4 linked regions of the Tribolium castaneum genome follow. The main gene of each other region encodes a partner of the protein of the gene in region 3 in a complex. Links are inferred from orthologs where the notes say so. Each region holds a gene or a part of one and is shown on either strand. Other genes may lie near its edges.

The links.
Region 1: TfIIFalpha (region 3) and Polr2C share a complex: the UniProt entries of both Homo sapiens proteins name them as parts of the TBP-based Pol II pre-initiation complex. The link is inferred for Tribolium castaneum from reciprocal best matches to the Homo sapiens genes GTF2F1 and POLR2C.
Region 2: the proteins of TfIIFalpha (region 3) and Fcp1 are in contact, whole or in part, in an NMR structure (PDB 1ONV), measured with the Homo sapiens proteins. The link is inferred for Tribolium castaneum from reciprocal best matches to the Homo sapiens genes GTF2F1 and CTDP1. Residues at the interface, in NP_002087.2 of Homo sapiens: Thr470, Lys471, Leu474, Gln478, Ser486, Thr489, Val490, Leu493, Ala494, Leu497, Lys498, Leu500, Asn501, Pro502, Arg504, Met511, Phe513; in NP_004706.3 of Homo sapiens: Ala946, Asp947, Met949, Ala950, Lys951, Ala952, Leu953, Glu954, Glu956, Leu957, Asp959, Leu960, Met961.
Region 4: TfIIFalpha (region 3) and TfIIA-L share a complex: the UniProt entries of both Homo sapiens proteins name them as parts of the TBP-based Pol II pre-initiation complex. The link is inferred for Tribolium castaneum from reciprocal best matches to the Homo sapiens genes GTF2F1 and GTF2A1.

Annotation. Positions count from the first base shown.
Region 1 is NC_087398.1:8,332,008-8,334,848, reverse strand, and holds Polr2C (DNA-directed RNA polymerase II subunit RPB3), read left to right. Parts: upstream 1-1,288; 5' UTR 1,289-1,344; coding exon 1,345-1,430; intron 1,431-1,475; coding exon 1,476-1,647; intron 1,648-1,695; coding exon 1,696-2,083; intron 2,084-2,130; coding exon 2,131-2,309; 3' UTR 2,310-2,341; downstream 2,342-2,841. Other genes in the region: uncharacterized protein LOC103314918, read right to left, coding at 1-492, 538-699, 747-974, 1,039-1,086; uncharacterized protein LOC103314913, read left to right, coding at 2,412-2,687, 2,733-2,841. UniProt on the Homo sapiens protein: Core component of RNA polymerase II (Pol II), a DNA-dependent RNA polymerase which synthesizes mRNA precursors and many functional non-coding RNAs using the four ribonucleoside triphosphates as substrates.
Region 2 is NC_087396.1:10,632,633-10,636,890, forward strand, and holds the start of Fcp1 (RNA polymerase II subunit A C-terminal domain phosphatase), read left to right. Parts: upstream 1-1,458; 5' UTR 1,459-1,498; coding exon 1,499-1,716; intron 1,717-1,767; coding exon 1,768-1,921; intron 1,922-1,974; coding exon 1,975-2,345; intron 2,346-2,826; coding exon 2,827-3,988; intron 3,989-4,258. Other genes in the region: Rab2 (ras-related protein Rab-2), read left to right, coding at 1-294, 351-531, 757-855. UniProt on the Homo sapiens protein: Processively dephosphorylates 'Ser-2' and 'Ser-5' of the heptad repeats YSPTSPS in the C-terminal domain of the largest RNA polymerase II subunit. This promotes the activity of RNA polymerase II.
Region 3 is NC_087400.1:9,154,647-9,157,704, reverse strand, and holds the end of TfIIFalpha (general transcription factor IIF subunit 1), read right to left. Parts: intron 1,445-3,058; coding exon 871-1,444; intron 824-870; coding exon 619-823; 3' UTR 501-618; downstream 1-500. UniProt on the Homo sapiens protein: TFIIF is a general transcription initiation factor that binds to RNA polymerase II and helps to recruit it to the initiation complex in collaboration with TFIIB. It promotes transcription elongation.
Region 4 is NC_087395.1:25,201,029-25,204,412, forward strand, and holds TfIIA-L (transcription initiation factor IIA subunit 1), read right to left. Parts: upstream 2,155-3,384; 5' UTR 1,946-2,154; coding exon 1,458-1,945; intron 1,216-1,457; coding exon 765-1,215; 3' UTR 501-764; downstream 1-500. UniProt on the Homo sapiens protein: TFIIA is a component of the transcription machinery of RNA polymerase II and plays an important role in transcriptional activation. TFIIA in a complex with TBP mediates transcriptional activity.

The DNA.
Region 1 (2,841 bases), on a different chromosome or scaffold from region 3:
CACAGTGACATCCTTATACAACTCATTCTCATCAAATTTATATTTCCCAGGCGCCAGGCCAATGGCATTGCCTAAAACTTTATCAATTTGAACACAATTCTTGTTATCTGTGACAGTCTTAAACAGTGCGCTTTTTAGCAACTGCACGTTATGTAGCAAATTGCTCAATTCTTCGCAAAACTTGACGCCCCTTTGCCCAGCCTTGCATTTTTGGGTGATGTCAAACAAATAATTCCAAACATCGAAATTGTACTGCTGGTAACCCTCGGGTAGAGGCCCATGGTCGGGATTTTTTTTCAAATGTTGAATCATTTTGTTTTTGCCCAAATAAGCCTTGAAGCATTTGGGGCACTTGAACTGGGCTTTCACCACCCGCTTTCTGGTCTGTAATTGAGCAAATTCTATTTTACTGTTCTCCTTCTCCTCAACTCTCTCAAAATCCGTGACTTGTACTTCGCGATCATTAACACTGGGTTGAAATTTTTTGAAATCCTGTGAAACATCACTGATTAACTTCTAAAACACTTGAAAATTTACCTTTTCTATGTGTTTTGGGAGCTTGACTAGACGACCAGAACGAGTCCTGGAAGCTTTAGAAGCCTCGACATTGTCCGTTTTTGATTCGGTATTTGCATCAGTTTGTGGCGCTTCGTGCTTCTTCTTTTTAGGGCGTCCACGTTTTACAAGATTTGGAGCTCGCTAATTAAAAAAATAAATTCAAGGAATAAGAGATAAGTGGTTCTCACAATCAAACTCAGTTCTTGGGGGTACACAATTTTGACGACACATGGTTGTTCCTCGGGGTACATAATTTGGAAACCCAGTGGTTCTTCTTGGGGAACACTCGTGCAAGGTTCTTCAATGATTTCAAGAGGCTTATCCATGGATTCAACTAAGATGTGAGGATTACTCACGGTTTGGGCAATCTGTAGTTGACTATCAACTTGTTCTGCCAAGTGTATGGTTTCGAGGGGCTAGAATAACGTTGCAATATAATACTTTAATCTTACTAATTTATAAATAACAATTAGCACTTACCTCACTAATTTGAACTACATATGGCGTTGTGGGAATGTTATCGGTCATTATTATTGGACACTTGTTAATTTCTCACGATATTTAAACTGTTTTCGCGTTTTTTATTTTTAAATAAAAATTTGCAGAGGTTGACAAATCCTTGACACCACAAAAATTGACAGTTTTGATAGGCACAGGCAACCAGTTACACAAGACAGTGCTGTAAGTTGCCTTTTATAATAAGTTTTGAGGTTCTGTCGTGTTGTTGTCGGTGTTTGTGTTAAAAAAAGTTCAAATCCTGTCTTTTCGTAATTGAAATTTTCTAATATGCCGTACGCAAACCAGCCCTCGGTCCACATAACCGATTTAACCGACGATAATGTGAAATTCTACATTGAAGACACCGATCTGAGGTGAGCAACAATTCTTTAAGGGGGCACTAACTGGCCAATTTTTAGCGTGGCTAACAGCATCAGGCGCGTCCTAATCGCCGAAACGCCAACTTTGGCCATCGATTGGGTCAAGTTGGAGGCGAACTCAACCGTCCTAAGTGACGAATTTTTGGCCCACAGAATAGGCTTGATCCCCCTCATATCAGACGACGTGGTGCAACGTCTCCAATACCCAAGAGTTAGTCGTTTAATTTGATCTATTTCACATCTAAAATGCAATTTCCAGGACTGCATTTGCACCGATTTTTGTCATGAATGCAGTGTTGAATTCACCCTTGATGTGAAATGCACTGACGACCACACGCGGCACGTTACCACCGCAGATTTAAAATCGAGCGATCCTAGAGTTATTCCGGCCACTTCCAAACACAGGGACGATGAATCGTCAGAGTATGGCGACACTGACGAAATTCTGATCATCAAGTTGCGGAAAGGGCAAGAGTTGAAGGTTAAAGCTTACGCTAAAAAGGGGTTCGGTAAGGAACACGCCAAGTGGAACCCCACGGCGGGGGTGGCCTTCGAGTACGACCCCGATAATGCTATGAGACACACGCTTTTTCCTAAGCCAGACGAATGGCCCAAGAGCGAATACAGCGAACTGGATGAGGATCAATGTAAATATTTTACTTGTTAGTTGTTTTGTTTGACCATAATGTTCCAGACGAGGCTGATTTTAACTGGGAATTGAAACCAAACAAGTTTTATTTCAATGTGGAAGCTGCAGGAGCCCTAAAACCCGAAAATATCGTCATAATGGGGGTGGCAATGCTGAAGGATAAATTGTCCAATTTGCAGACTCAGCTTAATCATGAAGTACAGAACGATGCCCTTGCTATTTAATTATAACGTTAATAAAGCCGATAATTTTTAAATTAGTGTTTTGTTTGAACTGTCACTTTTTACAATTACTGAAACAGTCAGTTCCTTCTTTCTGTTGAAAAAATGAACGAGCACGACGACAGAATTAAGTTGGACATCTTTAGAAGCAAAACCACTTATCAGAATGACTACAAAAAATTCCCACTTGAGCCTCGTAAAGACACTTTGAATTGTCAAGCAAAATTTTTGGACAAAAAAGACAAGCCCCCGAGTGAGTATGTCCCTAAAGACAATGAAACTTTTGCGGCCCGACGCCCCGACGTCTACATCCCGTTTAACTTACTTTGGAGACGCAAAGAGATCACAGGCACGGACCCCCATGTACCTTTCGAAACCCCCGTATGTACAAAAATACAGTCAACAAAATAAAAAGATACAATTAAGGTAATTCCCGAGAATGCAGCCAAAGAAAACGTAATCAAGACAAGACCAAGGGTTTACATGTCCCCAGCTGTGAGTATCGACGACGTTTCAGACCCCGAAATGCGCAACT
Region 2 (4,258 bases), on a different chromosome or scaffold from region 3:
ACTACAGTTCACGGACAAGAGGTTCCAGCCAGTTCATGATTTGACAATCGGGGTGGAGTTTGGCGCTCGAATGATCACCATTGATGGCAAACAAATCAAATTACAAATTTGGGACACTGCCGGACAGGAGGCTTTTAGATCTATAACGCGGTCGTACTATCGGGGGGCTGCTGGCGCTCTTTTAGTTTATGACATTACGAGGAGGGAGACTTTCAACCATTTGACTACATGGCTTGATGATGCCCGCCAGCATTCCAACTCAAATATGGTCATCATGTTGATTGGAAACAAAAGGTGTTCATCCCGTTTTATTTTTTTTTTTTTCAAAAGTGTTAACTAAACCCTTCCAGTGATCTAGAGAGTAGGAGAGAAGTGAAAAAGGAAGAAGGAGAAGCTTTTGCCAGAGAACACGGACTAGTCTTTATGGAAACTTCAGCAAAAACGGCCGCCAACGTTGAAGAAGCGTTTATAAACACAGCAAAAGAGATCTATGAGAAAATACAAGAGGGAGTCTTTGACATTAACAATGAGGTAAATCAGCGGTTCTGCTCTGTTAAGCTAATTGGCATTTTCTAAAGGTTACACAAACTTTAGAAATCAATAATTTTATACATTAGCAAGTTCATTACCCCATTTTTGGTGATACTTTCTTCTGACTTTGAAATTAAGTTGGCAGCTTGAGACGTCACACGTATAGTGCTGCCAACTCAAATTCACAACTATTGTGTTTTAAATTTTGTTGTTGAAATTGTGCAGGCAAATGGAATCAAGATTGGCCCCCAACATTCCCCCACAAATCCATCGCTTCCTGGTGCAGGCGGCGCCGGGGGTTCGCAGGGTTCGAGTTGCTGTTAAGATGACTTGTCTGTCTTGAGGGTTACATTATGTGTAAGAGAGAAACCCTTATTAAAGAATTGAAAGTGACTGCACAGGTTTATTACATAAATTAATGATCTGATATCTTCCAAATTAGCAAGTTGCACTTTACCCCATCGTTCAACAACCTTTAGAGACAAAACTTTTCAAATATTTTGATACATATGGTGATATTGGCCCCCACTAATTTATGTAATGAAAGGATTATTATTGTGATTATTTTAAGAGTGTGGTATAGTTAGTCCAATACAGGTCACATATTTATTGTTTTGAGTTCATATTTTATAGAGTACCAACCGAAAAGCCGTTTCAGAAGCATTACATCTTACTTTAAACCAACTTTATTTTTGTTATTGGTGATAATAGTGTTATGTGTTTTATTGCGACTATTATACTTAATTAAGAAATGTAGTGTTTATCTCATTAAATAAATTTGTATTGTAAAACGTCAAATTTTTTATGTAAGCTTCATGTAATATAATCAAATATAAGTTGTATTGCCAGTTTGTGTTTGTTTTACCCAAAATTTGAAACGGGCGCGTGAGTAATGGCACCCGGAAGTGCACGCGTCGTCCAATCAGGCCGCGTTCTGCGTTCATGAGTGAAGTCGTTTCCGTGCAAGATGGCGGAAAAAACTATGTGCATATCACAGCAACAAACAAAACCTATAAAAATTTTAAAATGGAAAGTGAGCGAAGGGAACACTGTCTCGATCGGAAGAGTAATCCTTCTGTATGATTTTGACGGGGCTTCCAAGGTGGAACAACGCAAGTTGAAGGTAACACAGGCCGGAACAATTTTTAAGATTGTGGCGCAGGAAGGCGCCATTGTCAAGCCAGGGTAAGCAACAGTTTTGAAAAGGCGCGCGAAAGCTCACGCTCGAATTTTCAGCGAGACTTTGTGCGAATTGAAAGAATGCACGCATCCGACGGTGATGAACGACATGTGCGCAGAATGCGGCACGGATTTGAGGAAAAACGACGTCAGTGTGGCGGCTTCCGTGCCCATGGTGCATGCCATACCTGACTTGAAAGTCAGCGAAGAGGTGGTTGCGTTATATAAAATGCCGCTGCGGGGGTTTGACTTGCATTGTTGCAGCTTGCACAGAAACTCGGCAAAGCGGACGTTGATCGGCTTATTAGAGACAGGAAACTTGTCCTGCTTGTGGACTTGGATCAGACCTTGATCCACACAACCAATGACCACATTCAGCCGAACATCAAGGATATCTATCGCTTTCAGTTATACGGGCCCAATTCACCTTGGTACTTCACAAGGTTGAGGCCCGGAACCCATCAGTTTTTGAACAATATTTACCCGTTTTACGAGCTGCATATTTGCACCTTTGGCGCAAGGAATTACGCACATATGATTGCTGCGGTTCTGGACAGGGACCAGAAGTTTTTCTCAAATCGTATTCTCTCGCGGGATGAGTGTTTTGACCCAACTAGCAAAAAGGCGAACTTAAAGTACGTATTTGAAAAGAAAAATCTGAAAAATCATTCCGTTATTCCTGTTTTTTGAGTCTTTCAAAATCATAAGTAAATAGTTTTTCTCTTCAAGTGTTTTTGAATCACTTTGCATATGTTCACTCTACCATATTTGAGTGTAGAAGGTCTAGCTTTCGAAAAAAAAAAGGCAAAAATGAGACCAGGATGAAAAACTTGATAAATTCGGACAAGAAAGCAAAATTAAAAGTAATTTTTGCCTTAATTACTCTCAAATCGAAGGTACTTTAAGACGAACTTGCACAATAAATAAATATATCGGATTAAAAATTTAAAACCAACTTGTTAAACTGAGAGAAGCAAGCTAAAGTAACAGTTTCGATCTAATTTTCTAGTCTTAGACTATCTTCGTGATATTTAAAACAACAATTGTGCTAAAAGTTCGCGAAAATATTTTTTTATATTTTTTGATACGCTGTGTTACATAATTTTTTATATTTAGGGCTCTATTTCCTTGCGGGGACAACATGGTGTGTATTATTGACGACAGAGAGGACGTGTGGTCGAACGCCGCAAATTTGATTCATGTCAAGCCGTACCATTTTTTTCAACACACCGGCGACATAAACGCACCCCCTGGTTTAGACAAACATGAAAATGATAACAAGGGAGTTGATTTAACAAAAATTAAAGACCAGAAAAAAGACGAACAAATCCAGAATAACGATAGTAAAGCGACAGAAAATGACAGTGAGAAAAATGGTGAAAATGTCGAGGAAAGTAAAGTTGAGAATCAGGTTTCAAATGAATCTGAGAGTACAAAAAACGAGAGTAAAGAAAATACCGAAGATAGTGAAGGAAATAATAAAGTAGATGAAAATAAAAACGGTGACGACAGTAGCGAACAAAAAATTGAAAATGTTGAATCTAAAGGTGTGAATGGTGAAGCAGTAACTAATGACGAAAAGCCTCCACCTGAAGAAAGTAAAACGCAAACGGAAGGGGACACCAAAACTGAAACCCCTCCGGAAACAAAAAACGCAATCGAAATAAACAATCATTTAGTAGAAGTTGAAGACCCCGATGACTATCTCTCCTATCTAGAAGATATACTAAAACGTATTCATCAAGCTTTCTATGACGCTTATGATAAAATGGAATCGGGAGAGGTTCCCGACTTGAAGAAGGTGATTCCCGGGGTGCGAAGTCAGGTGCTACAGGGCTACAAGCTGGTTTTTAGCGGGTTGGTGCCAACTCACATCAAATTAGAACAATCAAAAGCGTACCAAATCGCCAAGAGTTTGGGTGCTGAAGTTACGCAAGAGCTGGAGGACGACACGACACATTTGGTGGCTGTTAGGCCAGGCACTGCTAAGGTGAACGCCGGCAGAAGAAAGAAGAACTTGAAGATTGTTACACCCGATTGGCTGTGGTGTTGTGCAGAACGGTGGGAGCACGTAGACGAGAAGATTTTTGCTTTGAATAGCAAAGGCTCAAAAAACCGGCATCCACCGCCTCATTGCAGCAGTCCAGAGCATATTATAAGTTATCCAGAGCACAATACGCCCGCTATGCGAAAAAGGACACCCAGTGGAAGGTTTATGGACACGATTAATCCTCTCATGTCGTTTTCCAGCGCAGATATAGCGGATATGGATAAGGAGGTAAGGTTAAAAATTAGGTGAAAGGGGAATACGTTTATTGTGTTCCTAAACCGGACACTAGGGTACCAGCTATAGAAAAAAAGCGTTGTCCATAAAATCTTAATTAAATTTGCAGCAACCAAGACTTTTATTTAATAAAAAATCGTCAATTAAAAATAATGTAGGGCGACGAATTTGTTTTCAACCAACTTCAGTTAGGATCTTCTTTATCTGACAAACTGGTCGAAAGTCGGCAATTAGTTTTATTCAGTTTGACATTTTGTTTTATAA
Region 3 (3,058 bases):
TTGTATTTTTTAAAATAGGAATCATAGGTAACCGTGATATTTTGAAAAGCTTATTTATGTGTATTTGTGTAATACGTTATATTTAAATATTATTCAACTTTTTGTTATAAAAAAGACCAATATTTGATAAATCACTTCAACGTCGCTTATGACAATTTTTCAAAAAATTTTGCAACAAAAAACCTTCTATACAAAATATTTGTATTTTTTATTTCTGGCAATGTATTTCTAATACTATAAAATAAACTTCAATAATTTAATTAGATATATTTTACTTCTCATACAAAAGGTTAAAACACTATGCAACTAACAATACACGCGGCCACACTTTGTTGACTATTTCAATCACTTTACGGACGATTTTAATGACATTAGTCAAGAAAAGTATAGCTTTATCGACTTCTTCGTTCTCTTTATGGACAACTTTAGAACAAATATCATTTTAAAATCAAACTTTGAGGCGTTATTTTAATTATAGACAGTAATTAAGAAAACAATAATTGCTGTAAATAAATTTTTATTAATTAATATGTAATTACAACTCCCATTATACATAAATATCATACTCCTTTAACTCCTTATAGATAGAAAATTTTTACAGCAACATTATTGATTCAATCAAGACTTTATCGACAGATACATCTTCCCTTTCAATGTTTGTTTCACGGGATTAATTTTCTTCAATATTTGTGTCATAATATTGACAAGCTGTTCGCTCGAAAGTCCCGTCTTTTTCGATTTGAATTTCTGCAAAAGCTCAGTGGTTGTCATCGGCTTCCTCATTAGATATTTTCTAACAGCATCTTCGGTAATTCCAGACTCACTAAAACCAAACTTAACACTTTCTTCAATCAAATTCAAAAAACTTACCTCGACCCAACAATATAATTCGGTAAATCTAACTTCTGTTTTTTAGCAGACGGTCCTGCCATTACATCATTTACTAACTTCCGCTTGTGATCAGTTGGCGTTGCAGACCTTGAACTATTGGCACTATTTGCTTCCCTCTCTTCTTTTTTCATTTTCTTATCATTCTTCTTCTTTTTGGTCTCTTCGTCTGTGCTGCTATCGGAACTAAAATCACTGTTTGACTCTTTCTCTTTCTTCACCTCCTTTTTAATCTCTTTCTTGTTCTTCTTTTTGTTCTTCTTCTTCTTGTCCTTGTCAGCGCCCTCCTCGGTTTTCTCGCTTTCTTTCTCTTTGTTTTCTTCATCTTCATTGCTTTGTTCCTTCTCGGATTTGTCTGAATCGTTTTCCGAATCTTCATCTGATGTTAGTAGTTTTCGCAAGGCTTTTTCTTCAGCCACGCTCTCCAGATTCGTGTTTTCAGGTTCACTCTCTGAACTATCACTAATGTAATCCAATTCTCGGCCCTCGCCATCTCCATCATCCGAATCTTCAAATGCTTCCACATCTGTGTCCCGCTTCTTCTTTTTCGGGTCAACTGATAAATGATGCAAGTGACGGTTTAGCTCGTTTTTAAGCAAGAAATCTTAAAATATTTTTTTCAAACGAAGCAAATGGAAGAATAGATATTTTGGCCTGTATTTCGTATTTATGTATTTACTTTAAACCGAGTTAAAAATATTTATGAACATTTTGTATCGTTTTTTAAATGGAAAATCAAAAAAATAACTGATTTAAGCGAAACAAATTAATGCCAAATTCGCCAATTTTGAGACACCTGTATAACCATAAAGCTGTTTTTATGTTGAAATTCTGTTCAAATACAGGATTAACAAATGGTTTGTCTAGGGATTAGGAAGCTATAGAAAATTTTTGATTTTTGATATAAAGGCCATCCTATTAAAAAGACTTCAGACATACATTGCAAAAAATATTATAGTAATATTTTAAGCCAAATTCTAACGCAATAATAATTTTCAGATCTTTGTACAGGTGCTGCGTTTTTGGATGTAAGAAAAGGAAGATCTTTGAAAATAAGAGGTTTCGAGAAAAACGAGTGACACATTTTCGTTTTTCGAGTAAATAATTTTGGTCAAAACCGCATCCCGCTCTCGTCTTTTGTTTTCGACTTATAAACAAAAGTTGACATTTTAGCGAAATCTTAAAAAATTCATATCTTCCCTTCTAAAAGCTACACGACTGAAACAAAACATTATAAAGCACTTTTTTATAGAGAATTTAATAACGTTATCAGTGTTTTTTTTAATTATTCGTTTGGCTGTAATAACATTAATAACATAAAGTTGTATTTTTGTAAATTGAAATCATACTTGGCTATGACATTTTCGAAAAGCTTATTTTTTCAGAACTGAGAACAATATAAATACAGTTTGATATTTTTAAATACTTTTGATAAAAAATAGTATTTTTAAGATATTTCTCCTAACCTAAAAATTTTCTCCTTAGCTAGCTCTATCTGCTGAGAAAAATACAAACTAAAACAAAACCGAGAAAAAATGTGAGCAATCACAATCCGTGAAAATTGAAATTTTCAATTGACATTTTAGACTGACAATTAAACTTTGTCAAAAAAAACATTTGCACCCACATAGAACGTTATTTTCATATAATTTTTGAATTAACTGGGTATGATGGTGTTAAGTACGTGGCTTTTTGTACTGAAACCAAGGACATAATGAAACACTATCAAAAACAAGAAATCCTAAATTTGAACAAAACGATTTAAACAATAATTTTGGTATCCGCCAAGTAAAATTATTCCAAAAATAACAATGGACCAACATGACCAACTCAGTGGTTGAATTTTCACGTTTTCTTACATTAAGACAAAAATTATAACTTTGAAAAAGTTGTGGAAGCTTATTACCTTACAACAATGAATAAATAAGAAAAAGATTTTTTTTAATTTTAGACTAAACTATAGACAATTTTTAAGCCTCTGCTGAAGTCTGACATAATATGAAGCCTCACTAACGTTATTAGAGAATATGGAACACAAGTTGTTCTCTTGGTTGTCCTATTAATACAAATCAAAGTACTTCATGTGGTGGAAACTTGATTTGATGCGTTTTTATTATTTTAAAAAGACAACTATACTTACAAGTGCAACGACGAAGTTTAACTATAGTTT
Region 4 (3,384 bases), on a different chromosome or scaffold from region 3:
TCTCTAATAGTTCCGGAGCTATTGCTCGAGAAATGTTCCGGGTACCCAAAACCGACAAAAACTGCGACGAAAATTGAAAAAATCAAACATCAAAAAATCGAACATTTGGACTTTTTGTGGACTTTTAACAACTTTTGTGAGTTGTTAAGACATGTAGAAGTCCATAAAAATTTGCTGGAGTTAGTTTAAAAAAAATTTTTTTTCACCTCTTTGAAGGTAAGTAAGTGTATAACTCAGGAAATTTGAGCAAAAAAATTGAAAATTTTAAATTGCGTGAAAAATTAGTATAATAGAGAAAAAAAGGCGCTGAATCCAATGGAACGAACCGCACTGCTCTACGACTTTTAGTTTTCGAATTATGAATTTTTTTGTTGAATATAATTTTCCATTATAGGCATTGCTCTACGATTTTTAGTTTTTGAGTTATGATTTTTTTTCAAAAGAGCTGCTAATTTGCGATTTTTGTCATCTTCCAGGTGTTAGAAAAACGACCAATGGTGTAACTTCAAAAATAGTTTTATTCACAAACGGCTATCGATAATTGATAATACATAGTAAAAATTTCGATTAAATCTAAACGCCTATTATTAGTTACATTTATAATGGATAACACAATTCTACAACTCAGGCTATTCTCCCATTTTACATACAAAAGTTCAATAACTTAAGTCGGAACCCAACGTTCCCTTGAATAAGTGACGGGTTTTGCGTGCAAGTGACTTGAAAATAATAAAAAAAAAACAAAACTTCTTAAAAAACACTAATTACCATTCCGCATCACCGTTAGCCTTTTGGAAGACATAATCTTGTCCACTCAAGTTCATTATCCCATCTTTCAAATAAAATTTCCACTTATTCCTATTTCTTATGATTTTATCGTACTGACAAACAACGATGTTATCAGTATCGAACAAATCAGTTGGGTCGTCATCAGTCACATCGTCTTCGGAGTTCAGGGGCTCTTCTTCACCACCTTCTTCCTCCATTTCTTGATCCTCTTCGTCCTTATCGTCATCGATATCCTCGTCGTCGTTATCGTCGTCAGACCCGTCCTCATCGTCGTCGGACGTGTCCACGGGGCCGTCCACCTGGGGCACCTTCTTCCTAGGCAAAATAAACTCGATTTCGATTTGTTCCTCCTCCTCCTCCTCGGCGTGGCTTCCGTCCGTCTGGGCGATGTTTCGGTTGACAATGGTCACGATCTGCTGCTGCTGGCTGTTAAAAACACGTTATCTCATAACAAAAAACTACAATTATTACAAGCTTTTTTATTTATTCCGAAGAGAACATTATTAAAAATCCGATAAAATTTTAAACAATAATTAGAAAATTTTTAAAACAATTATTGACAAAAATATCTGCATAAGTGTGCACAAAACATGTATTTTTCTTTGTACAGGGTGACCCGAAAACATTTTGCGTGGACGATTTAAGTTAAAAGGGGGCTAACTGACTACCTGTTAAACACCGCGTTGACGTGCTGCTGGAGCACCGAAGACGCAATATTGGCGGGCAAATTCATCATCCCCGTGATGATCTGCCCCGTGAGCACCTTCTGGAGCTGGTTCCCCTGGAGCGCCGTGGCGGGGACCTGTATCGTGAGTATCCTGGGGCCCTGGTCGCTGCCGGGCTGCGCCGGGAGCGTGATCTGGATGGGGACCATCTTCGTCTCGGCGATCTGCCCCACGGGGGCTGCCGCCGGCTGCGCCACATGCTGCTTGGGGAAGCCGTTGGTGGCGGTCATCTCCGCCTTCTTCGCCTTCTCCTCCTCGCTCTGCACCGCCTTGCTGGCCTTGAGCTTGGTCTCCCAGGTCTGCTTCAGCTCCTGGAGGACCTGCTCGTCGACGCCGTCCTCCAGGAAGATCTCGCGGACGCCGCTGATCACGTCGTCGATCACCTCCTGGTAGATGCGGAGCACCGAAGTCTTGCACAGGGAGTTCGACATGGCCTTGGGGGCGCACCACACTACGTTAAGCTGATTATGAACGGTTTCCGAGAGTGGAAACGGGCGATAATGGCATTTTTACGCGCACATATGCACTTTTGAGGTTAGGGAAATCAGATGGCCGACATTTTGATGGAAAATGAAGGCGAGAGATGAGGAAAATTTTGGGGTAACGGCAGGACGCGATCGGGGATAGTGCGCAAGCGCCGGAATGAAGAGTTTTTATCAATTCTTATCACAAAAAATTACTACCACGACAAAAAAGTCGTATGGTGATTAGTGAGTCGTGGGGTTTTTATGGGTACAAAAAAGAGATTTAAGCAATAAGAAAATAGTAAAAAAGTGGTGTATTGTGGGTTGACTAAAGCACAAAATGGCTGCCCGAATTATTTTACCGCGAAATACAAAAATTAAGTTAATTTACGATATAGCAGAATTTAGCAAAAAAAATCAAAATTTTTAATCTCGTAAAAAAAGCTGGTATAACAAAGAAAATGAAACAAACCGCATTGCCCAACGACTTTTACTTTTTGGGTTATGATTTTTTTTAGTGTAAAACTTTAATTGCCTCTGTAACCGGAACCGTTGCCCGGAGCAGCTCCGGGTTTGGACGAAAAAATAGATAATTTTAAGCGCCATCCGTTTTTTTAGTTTGATTCTCTAAGTCTTAGAGTTTCCGAGAAAAACGCAAATAAAGTTTCCATCTTCGCTTTTTTTCCATTTTCAACTGCCGATTACGGCGAAATTATTAGAGTTATCTAAAAACGGAAGAATTGTAGAAAAGCGCAATAAAAACTCTACAAAATGGCATAGGACTCAAAGCGATATCTCGCAAAAAGTTTTATAATTTTCAATCGCCGATTACGGCCAAACTAAAAGAGCTAGGAAAAAACTCTTTTTTCCATCGTAAAGAGCACATCAAAATCTATAAGAAAGGATAAGTGTTATTTGATTCTGAGACACTTTTAAAAATGGCCATTTTGGAGGGGAGGGAGGTCTTAATTTATTTTTAATTTTTATTATATTCTCAATTACGACTAAACTATTCGAAAAAGGGGAACTGTTTTGATCTTTACCTATGCAAAATGATCCAGGGAATCGATTGGCGTCGAGAAAATTGCCAAATTCCCACTAGTTTTTTGGTTACGAATTTTTTAAAATTTTACCAATTTTTGCATTTATCTGCAATTTTCTCGAAAACTATTAGTCGGAGAGCAAAGATCTTTTTTGAAAAAGATAGACAATTAAAAGAGCTTTCCAACGATAATACACTTCATGGGGTTATCTCTAATAGTTCCGGAGCTATTGCTCGAGAAATGTTCCGGGTACCCAAAACCGACAAAAACTGCGACGAAAATTGAAAAAATCAAATATTAAAAAATCGAACATAAGGATTTTTTTTGAACTTTTAACAACCCTAGAGGGTTGTAAAGGCACAT